Mytilus edulis: one gene and its partner. The protein of the gene in region 1 binds, or shares a complex with, the protein of each later gene. Links are inferred from orthologs where the notes say so. Each region holds a gene or a part of one and is shown in the gene's direction. Other genes may lie near its edges.

The links.
Region 2: ATP-dependent RNA helicase SUV3 homolog, mitochondrial-like (region 1) and polyribonucleotide nucleotidyltransferase 1, mitochondrial-like share a complex: the UniProt entries of both Homo sapiens proteins name them as parts of the mitochondrial degradosome (mtEXO) complex. The link is inferred for Mytilus edulis from reciprocal best matches to the Homo sapiens genes SUPV3L1 and PNPT1.

The regions. Positions count from the first base shown.
Region 1 is NC_092347.1:16,599,895-16,607,914, reverse strand, and holds the start of ATP-dependent RNA helicase SUV3 homolog, mitochondrial-like, read left to right. Parts: upstream 1-4,928; 5' UTR 4,929-5,038; coding exon 5,039-5,315; intron 5,316-8,020. Other genes in the region: proprotein convertase subtilisin/kexin type 5-like, read right to left, coding at 4,785-4,815. UniProt on the Homo sapiens protein: Major helicase player in mitochondrial RNA metabolism. Component of the mitochondrial degradosome (mtEXO) complex, that degrades 3' overhang double-stranded RNA with a 3'-to-5' directionality in an ATP-dependent manner.
Region 2 is NC_092346.1:59,045,532-59,053,765, forward strand, and holds the start of polyribonucleotide nucleotidyltransferase 1, mitochondrial-like, read left to right. Parts: upstream 1-5,181; 5' UTR 5,182-5,217; coding exon 5,218-5,375; intron 5,376-8,234. Other genes in the region: kinetochore-associated protein 1-like, read right to left, coding at 1,648-1,773. UniProt on the Homo sapiens protein: RNA-binding protein implicated in numerous RNA metabolic processes. Catalyzes the phosphorolysis of single-stranded polyribonucleotides processively in the 3'-to-5' direction. Mitochondrial intermembrane factor with RNA-processing exoribonulease activity.

The DNA.
Region 1 (8,020 bases):
GGCAGGGTGGTCAGGGTGAGTATATGGTGGTGAGGAGACGGGGATGGGTGAGCGTGCGGTAATTTGCCCCAAAGTTGGGCATCAGGTGCAAAAAGCGATTTTTCGTCCTTTCTCTTGACCCCAAAGACCCAGGGATGCTGGTAAAGGTATCCAGCTGTAGCCTGCATGTAGAGTTGACCCTAGTGAACAAATTGACCCCAACAATTGTTAGGTGGGAGTGAATCTGATCTTGGTTCAGCAGTCTACAGCAGGCCATTTGGACCAAAAATACGGAATTTCACGATTTTTTCCAATTTTTGACTTCAAATGGACACAAAACAGGAAGTAGACGTTTCCGCTGTGCATTTTAATAATGATAACGATCAGTAGTTTTATGTTCATGGGTTAGCACTATTTTTGCAAGTTTTATGCCTCTGAACTTCCTGTGTAAGTAGATATAGGAAGATGTGGTGTGAGTGCCAATGAGACAACTCTCCATCCAAATAACAATTTATAAAAGTAAACCATTATAGGTCAATGTTTAGCCTTCAACATGAAGCCTTGACTCACACCGAACAACAAGCTATAAAGGGGCCCGAAAAAAGACACAGATGTGAAGTCCACCCCTCCAGAAAACCGAGTTTCAGCCGATTTCAATTTTCCAAGTCTGTATTTGTGCTCAAAATGCAATTTATTCATGAGAAACATGAATATGGATAGCCTCAGGTTGACAGAACATGCACAACTTTTAAATTAAGTATCATAAAGTGGACTTCTAAAAGTATGGAACACCATTGGAGCCAAACAATGATGGTCTGAGTACGCCTGTCATATGATGGTCACTGCATGGTAAGGGTTAAGATTTCAAATAATGTAAGAACAGGACTTTATAATTCCCAATATTTTACCCCATTATCTACTAGGGTGATACCTTTTCTGAAACCATAAACAATTATCTATCAAAAAGTCAATAAAAATCTTAAGTATTTCACCACATTTTTCCAATGATTTGAACAAAATTGAAATGTTGAATTTAAAAGCACCAAATATTTGTTGGAAAACATTACAATAATTTCATGAATTTCAGGACCTCAGGACGATACAGGTATGAGGGTATTAATGCCATTTACCGACAGACATTAAAATATTGTGGTTTGTTATTGGTCTCAAATAATTACCGTTAACATCATTTTTGGAAAAAAATTAACATTATGCGTCCAAATCAGTAGATGTTTTAGCTCACCCAGCCCAAAGAGCAAAGTGAGCTTTTCTCATCACTTGGCGTCCGTTGTCGTTAACTTCTACAAAAATCTTCTCCTCTGAAACTACTGGGCCAAATTAAACCAAACTTGGATACAATCATCATTGGGGTATCTAGTTTAATAAATGTGTCCTGTGACCCGGCTAACCAACCAAGATGACTGTTATGGCTAAAAATAGAACATAGTGGTAAAATGTAGATTTTGGCTTATAAATATCTCTGAAACCAAAGCATTTGGAGCAAATTAAATCTGACATGGGGTAAAATTGTTAATCAGGTCAAGATCTATCTGCCCTGAAATTTTCAGATGAATCGGAGAACTAGTTGCTTGATTGCTGCCCCTAAATTGGTAATTTTAAGGAAATTTTGACATTTTTGTTTATAATCTTGAATATTATTATAGATAGAGATAAACTGTAAATGTACAGCAAAGTAAGATCTACAAATAAGTCAACAGTCAGTTGACCCCTTAACATGCTTAAGGATTTATTGCCTTTTATAGTTAATTTTTAACAATTTTTGGTAAATTTTTGTAATCTTCTAAAAAAATCTTCTCCTCCAAAACTACTAGGACCAATTCGTCCAAACTTGTTCACAATTATCAGTAGGGTATCTAGTTTTAAAAATGTGTCTGATGACCCCATCCCCATACCTAGATGGCTGACATGGGTAAAAATAGTTCATAGGGTAAAATGTTTTTTGCTCATATCTCTGAAACCAAAGCATTTAGAGCAAATCTGCTGTGGATAAAATTGTTCATTAGGTTAAGATCTATCTGCCCTGAAATTTCAGACCAATCGGGAAGCTTGTTGTTGGATTGCTGCCCCTAAATTGGTAATTTTAAGAAAATTTTGCAGCTTTTGGTTATTATCTTGAATATTATTATAGATAGAGATAAACTGTAAACAGCAATAATGTACAGCAAAGTACCGGTAAGAGCTACAAATAAGTCAATATGACCAAAGTGGTCAATTGACATCTTAAGGAGTTATTGCCCTTTATCAGTCAGAGCTCAGACATAAACAAGTCGATTTTTGTTTTCAACTTACAGTTCTAAGTCAAAACAGTTATTTATCATAAAAATGTGTTTTCAATTTTAGACTTATCTAAGTCAGAAAATGACAGACTTGTTTAGGTCTATTTATGTTGATGAAAAAACTTAATTTCACTTGGTGGCCAAACTACACCACCTATGACAGCAAAAACCTGTCTGAGAGTTCACAAGGACTTGAGCTATCTATATTTAATTGTCTAATTGAACATCCTCACTAAACACAGATGTTTTACCTCATTAAGTGGGGTTCCAGGTGGTTGCATTGTAAGGTTAATTAACATTATCTCCGATTTTTTAGACTCTCATTTCATATTTTTCTTTAGAAGACAAAGCATTGTCTTTCAATGTTGTCATTATTTGATTTAGATGCATGACCTCCTTATAAATATGCGTGGGTCTTGAAGTTTACCAATTTTGATCACTTTTCGACTTGTAGAAAGCGTTATTTGCAACTTTTTGATTCTGGTCAATTATTTCTTGCTTAACAATATTTATATTTCTTATGTCTTGCATTAAAGGGAGACAAATACTAAAACTTACAAATTTAGACCTCTATGAGTCAAAAGCAGATTCAGACTTATTTATGTCTGAGCTCTGACTGTTTATAGTCAATTTTAACAATTTTCATAAATTTTGTAATTTTTGTAAATTTTTACAAAATATTTTCCACTGTCACATTCTGGGCCAATTTCATTATAGATAGAGATAATTGTAAGCTGCAAGATTGTTCAGTAAAGTAAGATCTTCAAACACATCACCAACACCAAAACACAATTTTGTCATGAATCCATCTGTGTCCTTCGTTTAATATGCACATAAACCAAGGTGAGCGACACAGGCTCTTTAGAGCCTCTAGTTTATTGTCTAAAAGAAAGTATCCATTTTAAACGTCACGGTCCTACTGAAAAGTGCCCGGGAAAAGAAAAAACGCCCGGGGAAAAGAAAAAGCGCCCGGAGAAGGAAAATTAGCACCCTGAGAAGAAAATTAGCGCCGTGGAGAAGAAAATAATAATATTTTATAACAATATTTTTTTCTTTAAAAAATAACTAATCATTGCTTGTTTTGTCCTTAATATAAATGGTGAAATGTATGATGCTATATCTAAAGTATTGTTGTACTTTTACATTTTAGATTTCAAAATTGTATATAAGTATGTAAATAAATATAAATAATGAGGGGGAGGACAGGGGGTACCATTCTCCCTTCTCCCACCCCCTCTTCTCCTTTCTCCTACCCCCTTCTCCTTTTTCCTACCCCCGTTCTCCTTTCTTCCATTAGAATAAAACATCTCCCTTTGAGATATTTTTTCTTGAAATATTAGATCGTTTTTTAAAAGGAGAGATATTTTATTTTTTCTCCTTTCTCCCAGCCTTCCTCTCCTTTCTCCCAGTCTCCCTTACCCCTGTCCTCCCCCTCAATAATAGTAAATAGAAGAATCATGAAAGACATTGTCCTCGATCAAAATGTATGTTTTGTTACTAAAAATAATCGGTGCCTGAGGTCTAATATTTTCGCAACTGCATGGTGAACACTTTTTTATACAGATGCTGAGATAGATTTATTATATCTTTTTATAAAACTAAAACTGTTTCAATGGCTATGGTTATCAGGGTTTTAATGCTAAGACTTAAATTTAAACATAAGTAAATTAACATCTGCTTTTTATCACCTTGTTTTAACTAGGTACATGTATAGTACTGCTTTTTTGCTGATTTATTATGTGTACCTTTTTTATTTTGCTTAAGTTAATATTTATCTGTGAAATTTGAGTTGTCTTATACATTTTCATTTTGATATCGTTTTTCAAAAACATGTCTTTTGATGTCTTAATTACATGTTATAAATCTTCCGCATAAACTGTGATATCCTGCCATTATTATCAGTCTTTCGAAAAAGAATTCATATATTATTGTTAAAATTGAAATATTCATACTTGTTTTTGTGTTTTATTACAAATGTCTATTATCTGAATTTGCAAATTACTTGTCTAAAATAAAAAAATAAAAAATGTCCGTAACTTAACAAAGTTGTCTCATGCCAATAAAATATCTATATATTTTTCCCGGGCGCTTTTTCTGTTCCCTGGGCGCTATGTTTTCTTCTCCAGGCGCTTTTTATTTTCTCCTGGCGCTTTTTTTTCTTTTTATTTTCTCCGGGCGCTTTTTATTTTCTCCGGGTGCTTTTTATTTTCTCCAGGCGCATTTTAGTAGGACCCAAACGTCATGCACCAAAAATTACTGTTAATGTCATTTGGCAAGAATTTTTACGGTTTTTGTCATGAAGGTACTCTAATTACTACCCTCAGGTATGGCATTGGGATGTACAGGATATGGACAGTTGAGTGTGTAGAATCTCTGGCTTTCATTTTTGATGCCTAGGATGTAGCAGAGAGACTAGCATAGACGATAAGATATTGAGAATAAAACTGATGGTCCTCATGATCAGAAGAAGAAGATCATGCTATGTAAAATATTCAAAATAAATCATACCATAAACACTTTGTAATGAAAAGTTAACCATTTTCTTTTGCTGTGAACTTATTCATGTCAACAGTTATTGAATAAATAACAATTTAAAGTACTCAGATCTACGACGACATCTACCATTTTGACAATCATGTGATTTAGTCATTCGCCTTATTCTACTTCCGGTTTATTTCAAGATGTCAGCCTCCAGTAAGAAAACACGAGAAATTTTGCAGTAGATCACATAGCTTGGATTTAGACAGTTCTTTGATGAAATTATGTTCAATATTTGCACAACTGTTTGCAGAAAACAACCAAAAGTCCATAAATTAATCAAGCAAGTAGATGTTACAAATCTGACGAAACATGTGCTTGGATTTAAGTCATTGCAAGGACAAGAGCTCTATAGTCGACATTCAAAATCTAAAAAGAATAAAAAGAGCCAAAACACACCTGTAAAAACTTTAGAATCGCTTGTTGAACCAGTTCCATACACATCAACACATACACAGCCACATGGAATTGGTGAAGAACTTGGTGGAACCCTGGCCAAAGGTAAAGACATGTTTGAAAAAAAAAGTCAAATTTAACAAAAAATAATTCCAAATCCCATGGAAAATTTTAATCGGGAAGTCCCTTAGCAAATTGCATAAACAAAAGCTCAAACATTTGTCACAGAATGAATTAAGACCTTCCTATAAGGCAGTGTCTGCGTGACCCTGCATGTTCAGTGTTCTCCCCAGGCTCTTAAAGGACCACGGGCCTGCAATGTATAATTTTTTACCGTGGTTCTATTGGTTCTGCCGCGATGTAGAATTCTTATCCGTGGTGCTAAAATATTCAGGTGAAATTTGACCAGTTCAAACCCAGATTGTTTACACCACGTGATCAATTTACTGTACTTCTTCTTTCGTTAATCAGCAACGGAAAATATACCATCACTCATGAGGTTTACCTTGTTGATTGGATTTAAACGATGTTACTAACACTTGTAACATGATTGTTTTGTGTCTTAATTAAGATTTAACAATTTTATGATCACAAATAACTACACACCATAGTCTGTTATTTTTTAACTGTTAATATTGGAATTAGTTAAAAAGGCAAGTTCAAATCATGAATAAGTGTTCAGTGAAAATTGTTTTCTTTAATCTAATTTGCTCATAATTCTTTTATGTAATTAACTTTATTCAAATAAATTTGGATCTTCCCTCATCTGATCACCAGCATGGCTCAAGGTATTACTCCTAAAATTATTGTGAGGGGTGTGAGGTGACACGTCCAGGTATTCAAGCAATTTCCTGTCGCGCTTGCAAGTGCATGCATCGTTTCACTTCTGATGGTATTGATCAGTGTACACGGCCCATAACTTATAACTTTCCATTTTGAACTACATGTATCAGGTGTATAATATACATCTCTGTCTTGCGTGTCCAAAACTGATATAATATACTAGTCATTACTTAACTCATACGCTTGTTTATAAATAACATTTCTGGTGTAAAGAATATTATTTATAAAAATATAAATAATACATGTACCAAAAAAAAAAGATTTGATGAAATAACTATATATTTACATATTTTTTCCAAGGGTAAATTTGGGAAAATGTAATACAGTGTTCTCCTCAGGCTGTTTTAGCGTCGCGGTATCGGGACGCTATATTTTCTTTCCGTGACGCTATAATAATTTCATATTAAATATATATTAAATAGGTGTTAATTGCCCTTTGGGTGATAACTGTTTGGATACGAATACCCCAAGCTGTCACTTGTGACATGATTGATACCATGTGGTCTGCTATCGGAAATTTCGCCAAGGAGAATGTAATCAGAAAATCATAAACAAAAAATTCAAAATGTTTGCAATATGAAAGTTCAGGAAACAAACAATTTTTCTCTTTTTAAAAAGAGGTTGAGTCGTATCTTTTTATGACTTTCAAATTAATATGAGGCAGGCATTACCTGTGAATGGGGACGAAGTTTGTATTAATTTGTTTTCTATTCAAACATGGAAATACTGTAATGTTTCCGATATTGGTTCTGTTGTTAGGGATTCAGTTGTGACGTTATTTAAGTTATGAAGTCATATTCAATGTAAACAAAGAAACGCTGTTATCAGGTAACGTTTTTTTCATATCAAACAATTATTAAAAATGATTGGGTGTTGAACTCCTTCCTATATTTTTTGATATGTTGAAAAATTATACATTTTATTTAAAGTCTCATGCAAACAAGACCGGAAGAGGAAGTAGATCTGAAAAAAAAGTTAACGATTTTGAGTTCATTTAGTAGAATGAAAAATTCGGGAAAATTTTCCTGATTTTTTTTTTTATTGATTTTTCTACCGTAATTGGGGACTTTGTCCCCATATTATTACTTTCTTTCTCTTCCCATGTAAATTGAGAGTGAAAATTTTAATATTGAGCTAAATAAGTTTTGTACTTTCTTTAGAAATTGATCATAATTAGCTCTAGGTTATGTTTCATCCATTTAATGCATTAAAAATTACATTGAAAAAAATACAATTTATTTTTTTTACGCCAAATGTGAAGCTATCCAAAATTTCTGGGGAGAACACTGTAATATATACTTGTTGTCAATAGTGAAGGATGGATTGGAACATACCAGAAACATTGAATTTAACAAAATTGTACGCACTTGTCGACCATTCGTTTACATACGCCTGGATAGAAAGTTACGGAACTATAGATAATCACAATTTAAAATATATACATGTATACATTGAACATAAGAAAGAAACATACATTTTGTTTAATTTCGGGTAAAAGTTTTGTAAATAGACTAGTCCACATATGCCAACAGTATGTAATCATTGAATTGATAGACTATTGTATACCAAAAGAAGAAGAAGAGAACCATTTTGATTTAAATACAGGTAGATATATTACTTGCTTTGGTTCATCGAAGTTATGGACATAGTAAAATGACAGATTTATATATCAATTAGATGGAAGAAATTAGTCATCATCACAATTGTTCTGACATGCATGTAATATATATATGCAACTGAACGTACACTAATAATCCCCAAGGGATGTGAATATTTTCCAGGAAAACTATTGAGTATCAAAGTTTCAAATCAATTTCAGGATTTATTTTCTTTCTGATATTCAATGACAGCAATTAAAGAATAAACTGCTTGTCAGCCTTTCGGGTATTCTTGCAGTTAAAACAGACTTATAATTACGTTCAAAAATAGGGAAAGATGACATTAAATTCGTTCTGTCTTTTTTTTAA
Region 2 (8,234 bases), on another chromosome or scaffold:
AATTACTTATGACTACTTAATTATAATCTTTTTTAAAGAAAATATTATTGTCATGTTATGTACTTGATCGGTGTTGATGGCTGTTACGAAAGAAATATGTGTCGTAAATTTTCAATTTTTTTTTCAACATAATTATGTGATATTTAAAATATTGATAGGGATGTAACTGGATAATCCTTTTGTGTTTTGTTTTTGTTTTTTGTTTTCCTTCTTTATTTTTTTTTTATTTCTTTATCTTTTCAATGGAAAATGTAAAATATTTCCAATTAAGATTTATTTATAAAAATGACATTGTATTTATCTTACATGTGTTATATTGTATGTATATCATGTATATGTTGTAATTGTTGGAAATAAAAAAATCAAAAGTTAAAAAAAAAAGATATCTCTTAGTATAAGGTATCAACTTATAAATGTGATACCAATTCATCCCAAAAAATCACTGATAATTATTGTGCTTGATCATGTGTCATAAGTTTTATCGAATAAGTTGGGGTTGCGACAGGTATGTTTGTGAAATCCTCACAAAAATGTTGGGTTCACCAGGTTGATATGGAAATACTTCCTTCACACTGCTGATGCAACTTATCCTGAAACATTAATATACATTTATAACTATAGTCAAGAACAATCAATGTGGTACATCATTTCTATTGATCCTGTGACCACAAAGAACATTTTATGTTTTAGGTAACTTACTTTTTGTCTTGGGCATACCTGATACAGGTAATCAGGAATGCATTTTATGCATAAAGAAACAAAGCTTATTCTATTATATATGTATTATCATTACTGGGTGCTGATGGAATCCTATTTGTTATCTTTCAAATTCAATATGTTCAATGGGGGAAATTAATAACATCATCTTAACTTGTTTTGATCAGCAGTTCAAATTTTAAATGTCTGATTGGGGTACATGTATATCATTAATATTGGTCAGGTATACATATCCTCAAGATTAACATAATTCTTTCAGATTTTGAAACTACAATGTTAGAGTGGGGCACTCATATTCGCCGGGGACACAATTTTGCCGTTTTATGATTTTGAGGTGTAAAAGCTTCAAAGGATGGCAGAAATGGAAGAAATATGGCGGTAATTTATATTTTTATAACAAATATGATTATTTTTTTAAACTGAGGCAAAATTGCAGCACTTACCACAAAAGACTGAAAAACGGACAACGATTTCGGCCAATTTCCTGTCAGAATGAAAAACACGATTTCAAAGAAGTATTTCTTAGTTATTTTTTTGCACTAATTGCCCTTAATTTCAGTTCTTAAAACCTTTGAAAGGTCTGCTATTCATCTATAATGATATTGATTTGATAAATATTGTTAAAGCTGCAGTTATTTGGTTTCAAATAGATGTGTAAAAACGGCGAATATGTGTCCCCCTTGGACAAAACATCAAGAAATTTCAAACACCTTTTAATCTAACTTTTCAGGTAATTATTTTCAAACAAACACGTTTTCAAGCTTAGGAATATTTTGCATTTGAAGTTATCTTCATATAGAAATATCAGTTTACTTCAAAAACATATAGACCTCAACATAAACTGTAGAAAACATGGAAAGATATGGCGAAAATGAGTACCCCACTCTACACATCATGGATACAAAATTTTATAAAAGTGTTTCATTGTACCTTATCACTAGATGATATTGTAGCTAAGGTTTCCACTTGATACAATGCAATGCCAGATTCTTGTCTTGGTCCAAAATTAATGGTTTCCTCACCATTAAAATCTGTGGCTATCAAGTCCCACGGCATTATTAATGATCTGCAAGTACAAAAAAATTGTAAAAATAAAGTTTTTTCAGGTAATATTAAGCAGTTTTCAGGTTTTTAATCAGTTTGTGATTACTGGTGTGAATATGGGACAACTCAGCTTGAAGACAACTTAGAAACACAGACAATCTATAAAGACGGCTCAGGCCGTCTTTGTAAAAGTCACTGTAAACAAAGTGATTTACAACCTAGACAATTTATCAAAAGTGAATTTGGACTATTCAAATGATTATAAATAAAGTTATATTTTTACATTTTTCGTCAAACTTAATTGTATATTATACATGTAGTATTATTTCTGCTTTGTGAGATAATTAAGACTAATTTTGAAAGATACATAATTTTCACACAATAAAAGTACAATTTAAGTTGAGGAATTTGATTGTTGTGTCTTATATGCAAGGTCCTAGTATAACAATATGGAAGATGTAATTATTCAAAAGGTAGACATACCCGTAGCCAGAACCCCCCCCTGTCCGAACCCCCCCCCCCCCCTTGAAATCAAATAAGCACTGTTAAAGTCAACATTCAAATTGTGACTGTTAAAGTCGAGTTCATGAGTCCAACGAACCCCCTCCTTGGAAATTCCTGGCTACAGGCCTGGTAGATAGCTCTATACATGTACATTTATTGAGTAAAAATGACTTATACACATGCATGTCAAAGTTATAGTCTTTATTATCAATAAAAGCAGTATTACATCATATAAAATAGAGTTCTCTGGTAATATCTACCAATTCTTAGGTTCCTATGGATTTTTTGAAGTTTGCAGGAAATCAATGTATTCTTCAAAACAGGCATCAAAGATCTCCCAATAAACTTATTCTGAGTTGACTTTCCTATTTAACTTATTATTGGTAAAACCTCTCTTCAGAAACAGTCCTAGTTTTCTTTAACTTAGGAGACACTCAATAAATCAATTATATAGTCAAATCTCTCCTTTTATTATTTCCCAGAGTTGAGTTGTTGTTTGACTTATTGATAGTCAGATACATTTTACATGTAGACATTCAGAGTTGTCTTCTTTTTTTTTTAGGATAATCATAGTTTAGACAACAAGCACTGACAAGCCATACATTCTATGGACGTCATGGCAGTATGGCCATCGTGTCCTGCATCAATTTTGTACAATACGAGGCAACTCTCATTTTACATAAATGATAATGCCTTGTAATAGATTTTCCTCCCCTTATTACTCAATGCGGGTTTTAGTTAGCATGTGGTTTAAGTAGAGCATGTTCCAGCCACATTTTATCTTGTATTTGACTTTTCTTTCTTTATCATTTATCAAACACTTTTAGTTGTCCCTTCAATACACCTTATCGCTAATTCCGGCTGACCCGGCCGCTTGAACTTTTGACGTCAACAACAATCACTTTTCCATTGTGGCATCAGATATTTTGTTTTATGACGTCAAAATTTTACGGGGACCTGTGCGATATCCAGTAATGGCGGACAAATAGCAATAAGGTGTATGTATGAACGTGAATGTGAGCGAATCCAGGTGTGTTGATAAGTCGTTATCCTAAGGCAATTTTTTTCTTATTTTTTCTGTAGACTTAGCTTTCATTTTTTATTACCGTGCATTGTCAAGCTTGGTTACTCATAATTGTTTCTTAGTAACTCAGTGTACGATGCTGTCCCATACTGAACCTTCTGACCTTGTTTGTTAACAATCAAATTTCAATGGCGTCAAAATCCTGTGATGTCAATTCGTTCTACCCAATCAAATTGCTCTACTGTCAATTAGGGGATTTTTCAGCCTACGGCAATTACGTTATTTCTTTGTGGGATATTGCTTTAAAATAGTTTGCAATACTTTTGGGTTTTATTTAATAGGAAACCTCATTTTTTGCCATCCCTTTCGACATCAATGGAATTTTGTATGAATATTTACCTACAGTCATGATGGTCAGAATATCGATCTTTTTAAAATGAATAAAAAAAAAATTCTATGAAAAATAATGTAAATTGTTTTTTATTAACCTTCTCTATATTCCTGTACAAAATTATGGAGGGTTACTGCTCACAAGGAAGCTATTAAGCCAAGAGTTGCATATGGTGAAGTTGAAATCATCCCTTCGTAAATTTTACGGACGCCATCACGAGTTGGTTGACCGTTATGGAATAACCGTTTCACAAATGATATCGGATATGTTCCTTACGTCGTAACTACAATCCCCTTCCCTTTCATAAATGTGACCTACCGAATTAGTCTATTTACCGGATTTGTAATCACATAAGCAACACGACGGGTGCCACATGTGGAGCAGGATCTGCTTACCCTTCCGGAGCACCTGAGATCACCCCTAGTTTTTGGTGGGGTTCTTGTTGTTTATTCTTTAGTTTTCTATGTTGTGTCATGTGTACTATTGTTTTTCTGTTTGTCTTTTTCATTTTTAGCCATGGCGTTGTCAGTTTGTTTTAGAATTATGAGTTTGACTGTCCCTTTGGTATCTTTCGTCCCTCTTTTATGGCATGGACATCGTTTTTTCATATAGTTTTCCTTTCATTTTGGTTGGGCTTTTTTCGCGGGGAAAATCGCGAAAGACATAAGGAGCATGTCATTTTAAAATTCCTAAAAATACGATTTGCTTGACCTGTATTGCCTGCCACAAGACTGATGACGCTGAATGGAATGTACTTAAAGCAATGGAGGCCGGAAGTGGGATTTTGTGAAGTTCTAGAATGTTTTTAGACATTCGGAAGTCAGGATTGAAACAGGCATTAGAAAATTGGCATTTTTTAGCAATAATTGAGAACAACAATGAAAACTTATCTTTAAAAATGTTTTTTTTTTCAAAAGTGCAGAAAAAACGTATTCTGCACTGTTTTTCTACGCGTAGTTTCCCATGTTTGCTAAGTTCAGTGACGTCAATGCGTAGTTTCCCAGTGTGTTAAGTTCAAACACAAATACCTAACGAACTGACAAGATGACCGATTTTAGACTACCGTAGGAAACATGTTTTGGGGTAGTCCAAATTATGACGTCTGGCAAGGCTATTTTAATTTTAATGCACAGATATGAAACAGAAAGTAATTCATACAAATTGTTTAAAATTGAGTTACCTTCCAAATGTTTGAACAGGAAATTCAAATGATTTATCAAATTATTTTTTTTAATTCATTCACAAAACTGCAAAAGTTTGACATCTTCTTATCGGTGGGACTCGAAAAATGGTAGTTCCCTTAATATCTATAAAACGTTTTTTTTTGCATGATTTATTTGGTTGGATTACTGTAACTCATAATTTACGATTATATACCTCTGACACAACGTATTCTGTATTCTTCAACTTCAAAGATTGCGCCAATTAATCTGGTGCCTGTAAAATTTGATAAGTAGAAACAGTAACAATCTGAGCCGGGAATGAGTAGATTAATCCGGATTTCCTCTAGATTTATCCAATCAACTACGAATAAAAGATGGCTGCGCCCTTGAAACAAACATGGACTGTAAAGAATCATCTATTTTTAATGCAAAAACATTTAAAGCGCATAGGACAGTTGTGTCATGAGGTGCAGAAAAGTTCATGGGGAAATGAAGAATCAGTTCGTAATGTAAAATTTGATGTGGGAAATAGGTAAATTACTAATTAGATTGCAACGTCTTGCATAATGCTAAATAATTCACTCTCAAATAATGGACAACCCCCTAAAATAAATCAAAAATAATTAATACTTTCCATTTAATTTTATATAATATTTTAATATGAGGCAGGCATTACTTGTGAAAGGGGACAGAGTCTGTATGATTTTTTTTTTTTAATTCAAACATGTTAAGAAAAGAAACAGAAAGTGGGCCAACGAGCGGGTTTTGTGTGGCATTTTTAACGGTAACTTTTCCTAGATGCAGAGTGCCGAGAGTTTTGATGCAATACGTAGCGGTTATTTGACATAGATTGTTTTATCGCTTTCCGGCAATCATTCTGCTCATTGTTAATCTTTAAAAAGTATTACTTTACTTTTTAAATATTCTGTTTCTTTGATATTTAAGCATCTGCACGTTTATCTATATATGTTCTTATACATAACAGACACAGTTTTATCACTTTATTTTTATTCTTGGTATAGATATAGGAAGGCATTACTTGTGAAAGGGGACAGAGTCTGTATGATTTTTTTTTTTTAATTCAAACATGTTAAGAAAAGAAACAGAAAGTGGGCCAACGAGCGGGTTTTGTGTGGCATTTTTAACGGTAACTTTTCCTAGATGCAGAGTGCCGAGAGTTTTGATGCAATAGGTAGCGGTTATTTGACATAGATTGTTTTATCGCTTTCCGGCAATCATTCTGCTCATTGTTAATCTTTAAAAAGTATTACTTTACTTTTTAAATATTCTGTTTCTTTGATATTTAAGCATCTGCACGTTTATCTATATATGTTCTTATACATAACAGACACAGTTTTATCACTTTATTTTTATTCTTGGTATAGATATAGGAAGATGTGGTGTGAGTGCCAATGAGACAACTCTCCATCCAAATAACATATAAAAGTAAACCTTGGTTTATTTTTGCTATAAGTACTTATTCCAGGGATGGGGTAATCGTAATCTGTAATCGTAATCGATTGTAATTGATTACATTTTTTCAAGTTATCGACAGTAATCTGTAATCGAAGACATTTTCGATTACATGTAATCGTAATTTAATCGATTACAGCAAAAATTTGGATGTAATCATCGATTACTTTTCGATTACATTTCGATTACTTTAGTAAAATAGTATGATGAAAAATAACCTATTTCAGAGGAAAATATGTATGTTATCACTTTGTAGTACAGATAAAATATTATGCATCAACAATAATTGCGAGTTATTAAAGCAACTGCCTTATTTGCATCTATTGTCTCAAGCTGCATTATGAGCAACCAGATCCCCTACAGGGCTTCCAAAACGGTCATATATTCTGGTCATTTGTATAATGTCCGGTAAAAGTCCGGCTGGGCAAAGCATGAAACGGTCATATACTTTTTATTTTTCAAGGCTTTTTCGGTCATTTTTACATAATTCACGATCTTTTTGACCCAACCTTTTGCCTTTAACATCAACACGTTTCCGGTCATAAATGTGACATGATGATTAATTACTATCAAAACAACACCCACTTCAATACTTTCTAATTTTAATCAAGGCTAATTAGTAGTTGGACAGCTGAAATCTACCTGTTCAGGTGACAGGTGAACTATGATCAGTACCGGACATCGTATAAATTGATCGGTTTAATCACAAATATTTTCTTACATTTCAGCGGTTTGTATCTAATTGATTTCGTTCTAAAGATTAAAATTATTAGAAATTAGTTTATCAAAATGATTTGATGAAAAATTTTAAGGTTTTAGATAAAAAATCGTCAGAACTATGTCGTATGAACTAGAACACGTGTGCGCATGTGCACAGGTGGGAAATTTAATAATGCATCCTACATTTCTTCAAAAATGCTAAAATAATCAATGATACCTGTATCTAACGTTCAATTCAAGTATTTTGTTGAAAAAATAACATGGAAAGAGCTTCTTCTCTCAGTCGTGCTTTGTAAAAATACACGGATTTTACGTATCCGTTTATGGTCCATGTTTTACCATTGTCAAGTCAACATCCGGTTGAAAACGAAAGTAGTTTTTGACAATGTCATTTTGCACAAATAAAAAGTCTATGGCAGATATGAGCACGCTGATGTGCACACTTTGAATGATGCACTGCCAATTTAATAGTAACATCCTAACATCAAATTCATATCAAAGTAAAGTTTAAAATCGTTTTTTTTTTAATGTAATGTCAATCATTGGAATGGCCATCTGATTACCATAATTGCCTTTTGTGACTGAGTCTTAAGGGATTAAAATCGGGATCAGATATGAAATGTCCGGCTGGCTCAAATATTTTTTGGAAGCCCTGATCCCCTACCTAAATTTACTTTATATATCTAGCTTTTGAAACAAATGGATGTATGTGCTTGTCAATAATTCAAGAGCTTTAATATTAAAATAAGAAAATAGATTTGAAATAATAAAATAGATCTTAAATAGGAAATGTGTCTGTCTTTCTTTAAGTTCTGTACTACATTTTTAAAAGTAGTAAGCGTTATTTGTATTATTTTTCCTTAAAACATCATTTTCAATCCGTGTTGAAATTAAAAACTTAGATTAGATAAACAGTTGATTTCTTAAATGTTATGATATACATGTATATAAATTAAATTAAAAAAGAACAAAACATACTTTTAACAATGAACCAATGGCAATGCATTGCAATTCTTTTTTTGAAATAGATACATGTATCCCTTTGACACTATAAATATATTTTGTATATAATTTGATTGGAGAAGTTAACAAATCTTAACAACATTCTTGCCTTTACTAATTAGATGATCAAAGTCTTCTAATTAATAACAAACATATTTTGTTTTTATTTCAATTATCTTATGTCTAATTAAGAAGG